Linked DNA regions of Oryzias latipes. The protein of the gene in region 1 binds, or shares a complex with, the protein of each later gene. Links are inferred from orthologs where the notes say so. Each region holds a gene or a part of one and is shown in the gene's direction. Other genes may lie near its edges.

Region 1 (4,085 bases):
TCTCTGTACTTTTCCATCAACATTCTCAAAGCAAAAATGGCATCAGTGGTGCTCTTACGGGGCATGAAACCATACTGCTGCTCACAAATCTCCACCTTCTTCCTAAGCCCGGCTTCCACTACTCTTTCCCACAGCTTCATTGTGTGGCTCATCAACTTTATTCCTCTATAGTTGCTGCAGTTCTGCGTGTCACCCTTGTTCTTAAAGATCGGAACCAGAACGCTTCTCCTCCATTCCTCAGGCATCTTCTCACTCTTTAAAATCCTATTGAACAACCTCGTTAGAAATTCCACTGCTGTCTCTCCTAAGCACTTCCATACCTCCACAGGTAGGTCATCAGGACCAACGGCCTTTCCGCTCTTCATCCTTTTCAGAGCCTTCCTAACCTCATCCTTTCCAATCTCTGCTACTTCCTGCTCCACAACAACCACATCTTCCTCCCTTCTTTCCCTGTCATTTTCCACGTTCATCAGCTCCTCAAAATACTCCTTCCATCTTTTCTGTACACTCTCCTGGGTTGTTAGCACCTTTCCATCTCTGTCCTTAATCACCCTTATCTGTTGCACGTCCTTCCCATCTCTGTCTCTCTGTCTGGCTAGCCTGTACAAGTCCTTCTCTCCTTCCTTTGTGTCTAACCTGTCATATAGCTCATCGTAAGCTTTCTGTTTGGCCTTTGCCACCTCTCTCTTCACTCTACGCTGCGCTTCCTTGTACTCCTGTCTATCTTCCTCAGTCCTTTCTACATCCCACTTCCTTTTAGCCAACCTCTTCCTCTGGACGCATTCCTGTACTTCCTCATTCCACCACCAAGTCTCTTTACCGTCTTTCCTCTTTCCAGATGACACACCTAGCACCTTCCTACCTGTTTCCCTGATAATCTCTGCTGTAGTTTCCCAGTCATCTGGAAGCTCATCCTGACCACCCAGGACCTGCCTCAACTTCTGCCTAAATTTCTCACAAGTTTCTTCATTCTGTAGCTTCCACCACTTGGTCTTCTTTTCTGTTTTCCCTCTCTTTTTCTTCCTGACCTCCAGAGTCATCTTACACACCACCATGCGGTGCTGTCTGGCTACACTCTCTCCTACCACCACTTTGCAGTCATTAATCTCTCTCAAATGACCTCGTCTACATAGGATGTAGTCCACCTGGGTACTCCTACCTCCACTTCTGTATGTCACTCTATGTTCCTCTCTCTTCTGGAAGTAAGTGTTGACTATAGCCATTTCTATCCTCTTTGCAAAGTCCACCACCATCTGTCCCTCCAGATTCCTTTCCTTCACACCAAACCTGCCCATCACCTCCTCATCACCTCTGTTGCCCTCACCAACATGCCCATTAAAGTCTGCTCCAATAACAACTCTCTCTCCTCTGGGGAAACTTTCTATGACCTCATCCAGCTCACTCCAGAATCTCTCCTTCACTTCTAACTCACAGCCAACCTGTGGCGCATACCCACTACTACATTCACCATCACCCCTTCAATTTCTAACTTTAGGCTCATCATCCTGTCTGAGACTCTTTTCACCTCTAGAACACTGTTTACAAACTCCCCCTTCAGGATCACTCCTACCCCGTTTCTCTTCCTATCAACACCATGATAGAACAGTTTGTATCCTCCTCCAATACTACGTGCCTTGCTGCCCTTCCACCTTGTCTCCTGCACACACAGTACATCTACCTTCCTTCTCTCCATCATGTCTGCCAGCTCTCTGCCTTTCCCTGTCATTGTGCCAACGTTAAGAGTCCCTATTCTCAAACCTATGTTCCTGCCTTTTCCCTTCTCTCTCTGGCCACGGACCCTTCTGCCTCCCCTCTTTCTTCGACCAACAGTAGTCAAATTTCCACCGACACCCTGTAGGTTAACAGCATCGGTGGCGGTCGTTGTTAACCCGGGCCTCGACCGATCCGGTATGTCTAAAGTGTTGTGGATGATTCGCATGGTTATTTTGGCAATTTTTACGCCGGATGCCCTTCCTGACGCAACCCTCTCTATTTATCCGGGCTTGGGACCGGCACAGAGGCAACTGGCTTGCAACCCCTGTGGCTAGATTTGCTGCTCTGCAGGAACTATGTCCTAGAAATCGACAAAGGTTTTTTAAAGTTTCTGCTAAAAACGTTATAATCGTAATTAAAAAACCCTGAGAACATTTTTAATATAGATAAAAAGATGATCAGAGTTGATCTTTAAGAAACATGAAAAAAAAAAAACCTTTTCACCAACATTTCAGCATTTTCTTCGTTTTTTGATTGTTTTCCAGGGATGGAGGGACGAGTGCCAAGGATTTGTCCGAGTGTGTGGAGCTGCTCCTTCAATTGGACGAGCCTGCAGAAGAACTTTGTGACAAATTCCTGAGCCATGCTCGGTCTCGACTCGAGGCTGACCTGCAGGGCCTGGAAGCGGAGATACGACCATACCCCACTGCTGTGAAAGATGCTTCTGCACGCAGGTCTTCAGCAGGATCACCGACTGACTCCTCCCCTAAAACCAGCTCCCTTCCCTCTCCCACTCCAAACACTGACATCTTGGAGTTTATAGACCGAGGCTGCAATGAGTTTGTGAGCAGCTTGTGTTTAGTTATTGCCTCCTATCAAGAATTGTTCATCAACCACGCTCAGACAGGTGAACTGGCATCCAAGAATATCCCTCAGATGGCAAACCGGAAGCTGCACGTGTTTGTGGACGATCTGGCTGCTCAGTATTTCTCGCTGGTGGAAAGGAGGATACAAGAGGAGAAAGGAGTCAGCGATAACTCCCTCTTGGTCCGTGCACTCGACCGCTTCCACCGCAGGCTCCAGGCTGTTTCCAAACTGCTGCCGAACTCCACCGTCCCAAACCAGGGCACAGAAATCGTGATCCGAGCAGCGACGGAGCGGGTGAAGCAGTACCTGGCTGCCCTGCAGAGTTTCTACATGGACAGTCTGACGGATGTGAGGCAGGCTCTGGCGGCGCCTCGCCTATCTGTGGCCGGAGGGACAGGGTCAGGGGGTGGGCCTCATCTAGGGGGAGGAGCCACCAGCAGAGATGCTCCAAACAGTCTGCCGGAGCTGCTGTCTATCCTGTCGGCATCTATTCTCAACCAGATTAAATCTGTATTGGCTTCAGTGCATCTATTCACAGCTAAAGACATCACATTCTCAAACAAACCATACTTCAAGGTAATCATTTTATGTTCAAAGTGGAATATAAAGTATAGTTTAAGTTTTTTCATTACGCTTTTCTCATATATTAACAGTAATTTCCTGTTCCTCCATCCAGGGGGAGTTCTGCAGCCAGGGGGTGCGTGAGAGTCTGGTGGTGAACTTCATCAAGTTTGTGTGTCAGTCCTCTCGTCAGTTTTGTGAGAGTGCAGGTGACAAAGGAGGTTCCACTCCCCCAGCGCTCCTCCTCCTTCTGTCCCGTCTCTGCTTGGATTTTGAAACCTCTACCATCTCCTACATACTGACTCTTACAGACGAACAGTTCCTTGTGCAGGTTTTAAAACTGCTTTGATGCAAATACTCTGGAAAAAATATGGTTGATGTTTTGTGTAGGGAAAATACTCATCTCTTTTTCTCGTCTCCCTTTTTTTCAGCACCACAGTCCTGTAACTCCTGTCACAATTTTGTGTACAGAAGCCAGAGAGGCAGCGCAGAAACTGCTAAACCATTATGTCAAGGTTGTGTTCTCAAGAACTCAGTCTTCATTTAGTGGACAGGACGACCGAATGCCTCGACAGAACCATTTTATTTCTTCTTGTTGTTTGCGCAGGTTCAGGGTCTGAACATCTCCCAAATGTTACGAAAGAGTGTGGAAACACGAGACTGGGTCAACACCATCGAGCCGCGAAATGTTCGTGCCGTAATGAAGAGAGTAGTAGAGGACGCGACCTCCATCGATGTTCAGGTAAATCTTTAATGACCAGGTCCGAAAAAAATGGTGTTGTTGACATTTTCTTGTGGCATTTTTCTGAGGAGGGATATAAAAAAATTAAGCCAAAAATTGCATTTCTGACAATTTCTTTATTGAAATGGTTGTTAATCAGGGGCAGAAGAAAAAAATGCAGTTTATAAAAGATTTTATTTGTGAGGTAAAAAAACATGCTGGA
Region 2 (4,605 bases), on another chromosome or scaffold:
AAAAACAACATTTCTTTTGCTTCTCAAATGTTCCAGGTAGATATATTAATAGGAACAATTAAACAACAACTATAGTTGTGGCTTCTAGAAATGAGTAAAGGACAGAAAGATTCACTCATTCATTTGTAAATCTATTTAAGGTACATCTACACACAGTTTTATTCATAATTATGGTTATTTATTTTAACCATTTTATACTTTTTTATTTTAATCTTAGCTCTCTAATGAAGAAAGAAACCTATCCAAACTCTGACATAGAAGTAAATTTGACAAATTATAGGTTTTAACTCTAAAGCTGAATGCCAATTTTTTTGGGGGGGGTTATAGTTCAATATTTTTTATACTTTTTGAGACAATTCAAAGTGCTTTACATAGAATAAAAGAAACTTTGTAAGCATTCAGATGAAACGTTAAAATGAACAACCTTATACTCTCAGGATGTTGGAAATTATCTTGAAAACTGCCTCATCCTGTTTCAACAACAAAGTAAGTACGATTCCAAACTAAAGCAGATGTCTCTCCGCCTTCTTTCAGCGCATGGAGGGCATGCTGAGTGGCTTCCAGAGCGACCTGTCGTCCATCAGCAGCGAGATCCAGACCCTGCAGCAGCAGTCTGTCAGCATGAACATCCGGCTGAAGAACAGGCAGGCCGTCCGCAGCCACCTCAGCCAGCTGGTGGACGAGCTGGTGGTGCCCGGAGCCATGATCTCGTACGTCTGAACCGCCAAAATACCTACACACGCAGTCACGCACTGCAAACCATTAAGACACATTTACACTGCATGGTCCAAGTGACCCAATTCCGATTTTTTTTTCCTCTCATGTGGCACAGATCGGATATGACCGGTGACCGTGTAAGCAGGAAAACGCCTCATTCATATGTGGAAATAAATCGGATACGAATCGGATACGTGCATTTGCGTGTGCCATGTAAGCAGACAAATCAGATATTCCCCAGTAAATGCGAGTCGGACGTCAGTGACATCAACTCAGGACACCACCAACTGAGATCACATGACTTATTAAGGTGCTTTTGTGCGCTGATGTTGCTGTTCGAGGACAGCTGGAGCCCCATCAGCCTGTTACCTTTCAGCCTCAGGCTTCAGACAGTAGTCGGAAACCGCTGTTATTTTCCGTCCGGTCCCGGTCGGGACGCAAACGGTAACTAATGAAGCGGGACACCGTTGCTCTGGAACAGGCTAGAAGCCGTTTATTTCTTTGCTTGGATCAAACTGTTAGTTCAGCACAACGTCTGCAAACACTTCCTGATTCAAAACTCAGTGAGAGCATCTAAAAGCCGGCCGAGCAGCCCTCCTTTTTCCTCTCCCGCGCCGTATCCCCTCTCCCGCCTCATCCAGGAGCGCCCAAGGCAACGCCTCCTTCCGTCGCTGCGTTGCCTCCATGACAACCGCAGTCACACAAAAGTCCGAAGGAGGTCCGCGGAAGGCGGAAATGCTGCTACGTAGTCCTCAGAACGTCTACGTTTGATAGTTTCAGCATTGTATAGTGTAAATGCAAAAATCGGATACGGGTCACTTTTAAAAGGTGATGTAATCGGGCCGTCAAAAAAATCGGATATAGTCAGAAAATCGGATTTGGGCATCAAGACCTGCAGTGTAAATGCAGCCTTAGACACATTTTACCACTAAAAACCAGAGTCATTCTTAGTGGAATTCTCCTGCCACAAAAATGACCTTCCTAACCTCTGCGTGTTTGTTTTTTACTGCATAAATGTAGAGTGTGTGGTTGTAAATCCTCATGTGGAAAAAGTGAAGGACTGACGCCTTGTTCTGTCACAGCACCATCCTGGACAGTCCAGTGACCGAGCAGGAGTTTTTGGAGCAGCTCCACGAGCTCAACAGCAAAATCAACTTTGCAAAGGAGCTGAGCTTCAGAGAGACTCTGGCCTGCTCAGACATCCAGGACATCGTCGACCGGCTCAAGATCAAGGTGAGAAGCAGAGGCGCAGATAAAGATCTGTGAGGGTTTTTTTTTTTATTCATTCTGCAGAAAAATTATGGGTTAAAGTCTGGAAAAACGATCAGAAAGAGTTGTAGACAGAGGCCATTCCTGACGCTTTGACAGTTAAATGAGATAGAACTTTAAAAAGTTAAGTCCTAAGTCTCTTTTTGCCAGAAAAAAAGTAGAAACACAACATAGTCTCTTTGCAAATCAACTTTTCTGTTGTTGGCTGACATCTAATAATGCCACATGTTAGGTTCTTTGTACCCAAACTGCAACGTGATGAATTTAAACGGTTTTAATATTCTGTGGATCTCCTCTTTAGGCAGTTTCAAAGATCAGAGAGTTCATTCTGCAGAAGATTTACTCCTTCAGGAAACCGATGACAAACTACCAGATTCCACAGAACACCTTGTTAAAATACAGGTGAGGACGTCCTTAAAGGATGACACATAAAGTTTCAGAGTTTCCTCATTTATTGCCATGTTTTTACACTAAAGTCCCTGTTGTTGGAAAATGGATTTCCGATCTTTCTGACTTTTACACTTTCTTCCTGTAGATTTTTCTATCAGTTTCTTCTGGCCAATGAGAGAACGGTAGCAAAGGAGGTCAGAGATGAGTACGTGGACACCATGAGCAAAATCTACTACAGTTACTTCAAGTCATACAGCGGCAGGCTGTTGAAAGTGCAGGTCAGTGGAACAAATCTTTATAAAAAACACAACAATCTGTGTTTGATCTAATTGTTGTCGTGGATGCTGCAGTATGAAGAAGTGGCAGATAAAGACGACCTGATGGGAGTGGAAGATACAGCCAAGAAAGATATCCTTTTCTCTCTGACCTTGTGGGAATCCTTCAGTGAATCCTTCAGTGCTTTTGTTTTCCTGCGCTTCTCCTTAACGCCCAGCTGCACGATTTTTCTCCAAACCGTCCCTGAAGAGTCGGAATACCATCTTCACTGTGGGCCAGCGGGGGGCCATACTGAGCCCCGCTGAGCTGGAGGGGCCCATCTTGGTTCCACACACAGCTCAGAGAGGAGACAGCAGGGTGAGAGAGAGAAAGAAAGAATTTGAACGGGTCTCATTAAATTTAAGCTTTCTTTTTAATAAAGATGTGACACATATATATCTGAAGGAAAGGTTTCATGCTGAGCACAACACAAATCTGTCAATCGTCAGGCTTATACTTTTTTTTTAACAGATTTCTTTTAAAATAACTAGGATTGATTTTAAAGTTTCTTTTATTTGTTTACAAATGTTTTCGAGGTCCTCTTAGTAATTCCTTAAAGTTAGAACCAAACCTTCATTCATGGCCGACCCCACCTGTGGATCTCTTTGTACTCTTTAACCATTTTTTAAAATCATGTCTCTGGATTTTGTGACTATCTTTTTTTACTTTTACAATAAGGTCTAGTTATTGCTTTATTAGTTTTGTGATGTACTTTTGTGTTTTTGGTTTTAGCTCCAGAGCTCCTCCACACGGCGACTAACCCAGGGGTCACCTCAGCGCCGCGGGTCGGGTTTCAGGGCGTATCCCACGGTGATGATCTCTGTGATCATGACTGGGTTGGTCGCTGACGTGGACGGATCCCCAAAATAGAATTTCCTCACTTCCACTTTGGTTTCTATTTCTATTAATGCTCCTAAGTTTTATTTTATATTTGGGAGATTTTATTTGTTTTAAGTCTGATACTTTTGTAGCACTTTATAAATAAAGTTTGGTTTGTCTTTTTTTGTTTTTAAAGAAACAAACCTTTGCATCAAAAGGTTTTCTGTTATAAAAAAGGTCGTCCTTATATAACCCTTTTTAAATTTAGTTCTTTCTGTGTCCGCCAGTATCCCTATGAGACGCTGTTTCGCAGCCAGCACTACGCTCTGCTGGACAACGGCTGCAGAGAATTCCTCTTCCTGTGCGACTTCTTCATGGTCGCTGGAAACTCCGCCCTCGACCTGTTCAACAGCATCATGGGGAAAACTCTCAGCATGTTTCTGGTAGAGTAACCCTAGAGTCCTCATGGCAAGAGGCAAGAGGAGTCCCACATGACATAAAAGGTTCCCTCTGCCTCCTCCTGTAGAAAAGCATGTCCACCTACGTGTCGGACTGCTACGACAGCATCGCCATCTTCCTCTGCATCCACATCATCCTCCGGTTCCGCGCCATCACGGCCAAGAGGAACATCCCCGCCCTCGACAAGTCAGCCGCTCTCTGACGGAGGCCAAATTCTTACCTTCACATTTGATTTACACTTGGATCCATGTTCATGGTTGAACAGCATATTCTGTTTGTGTCAGCACAGGTTGTTGAGTTCTGATATTTTAAGGATTTAAATGAAGGAAATAAAATGTAGACAATTAGCAGAGATTTTATTAGGAGAAAGTAAACCAGAGGTTGCTTTAAAAAAACAAAAAAAAGAAGCAGATTTATGCTTCCAGTAAAGAGCGTTAACAGTCTAACAGAAAGAAGCTCAGTAGGTTTTAGGAAGCTGATTGTATCACTTTGTCAGTCTTGTAGTGTCGGTTTTGCTCTTGGCAGTATGTTTAAAAAAAAAAAATAGAACTATAAACTGACCCCGATTGATAATTTGTTGTCTGTATTTCCTTTTTATGGATGTATACTTAAAAAAGACAACATTTATTTATTGAT

What was found. The genes of interacting proteins can lie anywhere in the genome.
Region 2: vps51 (region 1) and vps52 share a complex: the UniProt entries of both Homo sapiens proteins name them as parts of the endosome-associated retrograde protein (EARP) complex. The link is inferred for Oryzias latipes from reciprocal best matches to the Homo sapiens genes VPS51 and VPS52.

The regions. Positions count from the first base shown.
Region 1 is NC_019872.2:19,784,436-19,788,520, reverse strand, and holds part of vps51 (vacuolar protein sorting-associated protein 51 homolog), read left to right. Parts: intron 1-2,258; coding exon 2,259-3,156; intron 3,157-3,256; coding exon 3,257-3,472; intron 3,473-3,572; coding exon 3,573-3,656; intron 3,657-3,748; coding exon 3,749-3,883; intron 3,884-4,085. UniProt on the Homo sapiens protein: Acts as a component of the GARP complex that is involved in retrograde transport from early and late endosomes to the trans-Golgi network (TGN).
Region 2 is NC_019869.2:3,222,227-3,226,831, reverse strand, and holds part of vps52 (vacuolar protein sorting-associated protein 52 homolog), read left to right. Parts: intron 1-534; coding exon 535-710; intron 711-1,799; coding exon 1,800-1,950; intron 1,951-2,287; coding exon 2,288-2,388; intron 2,389-2,521; coding exon 2,522-2,654; intron 2,655-2,726; coding exon 2,727-2,784; intron 2,785-2,875; coding exon 2,876-3,009; intron 3,010-3,797; coding exon 3,798-3,953; intron 3,954-4,036; coding exon 4,037-4,155; intron 4,156-4,605. UniProt on the Homo sapiens protein: Acts as a component of the GARP complex that is involved in retrograde transport from early and late endosomes to the trans-Golgi network (TGN).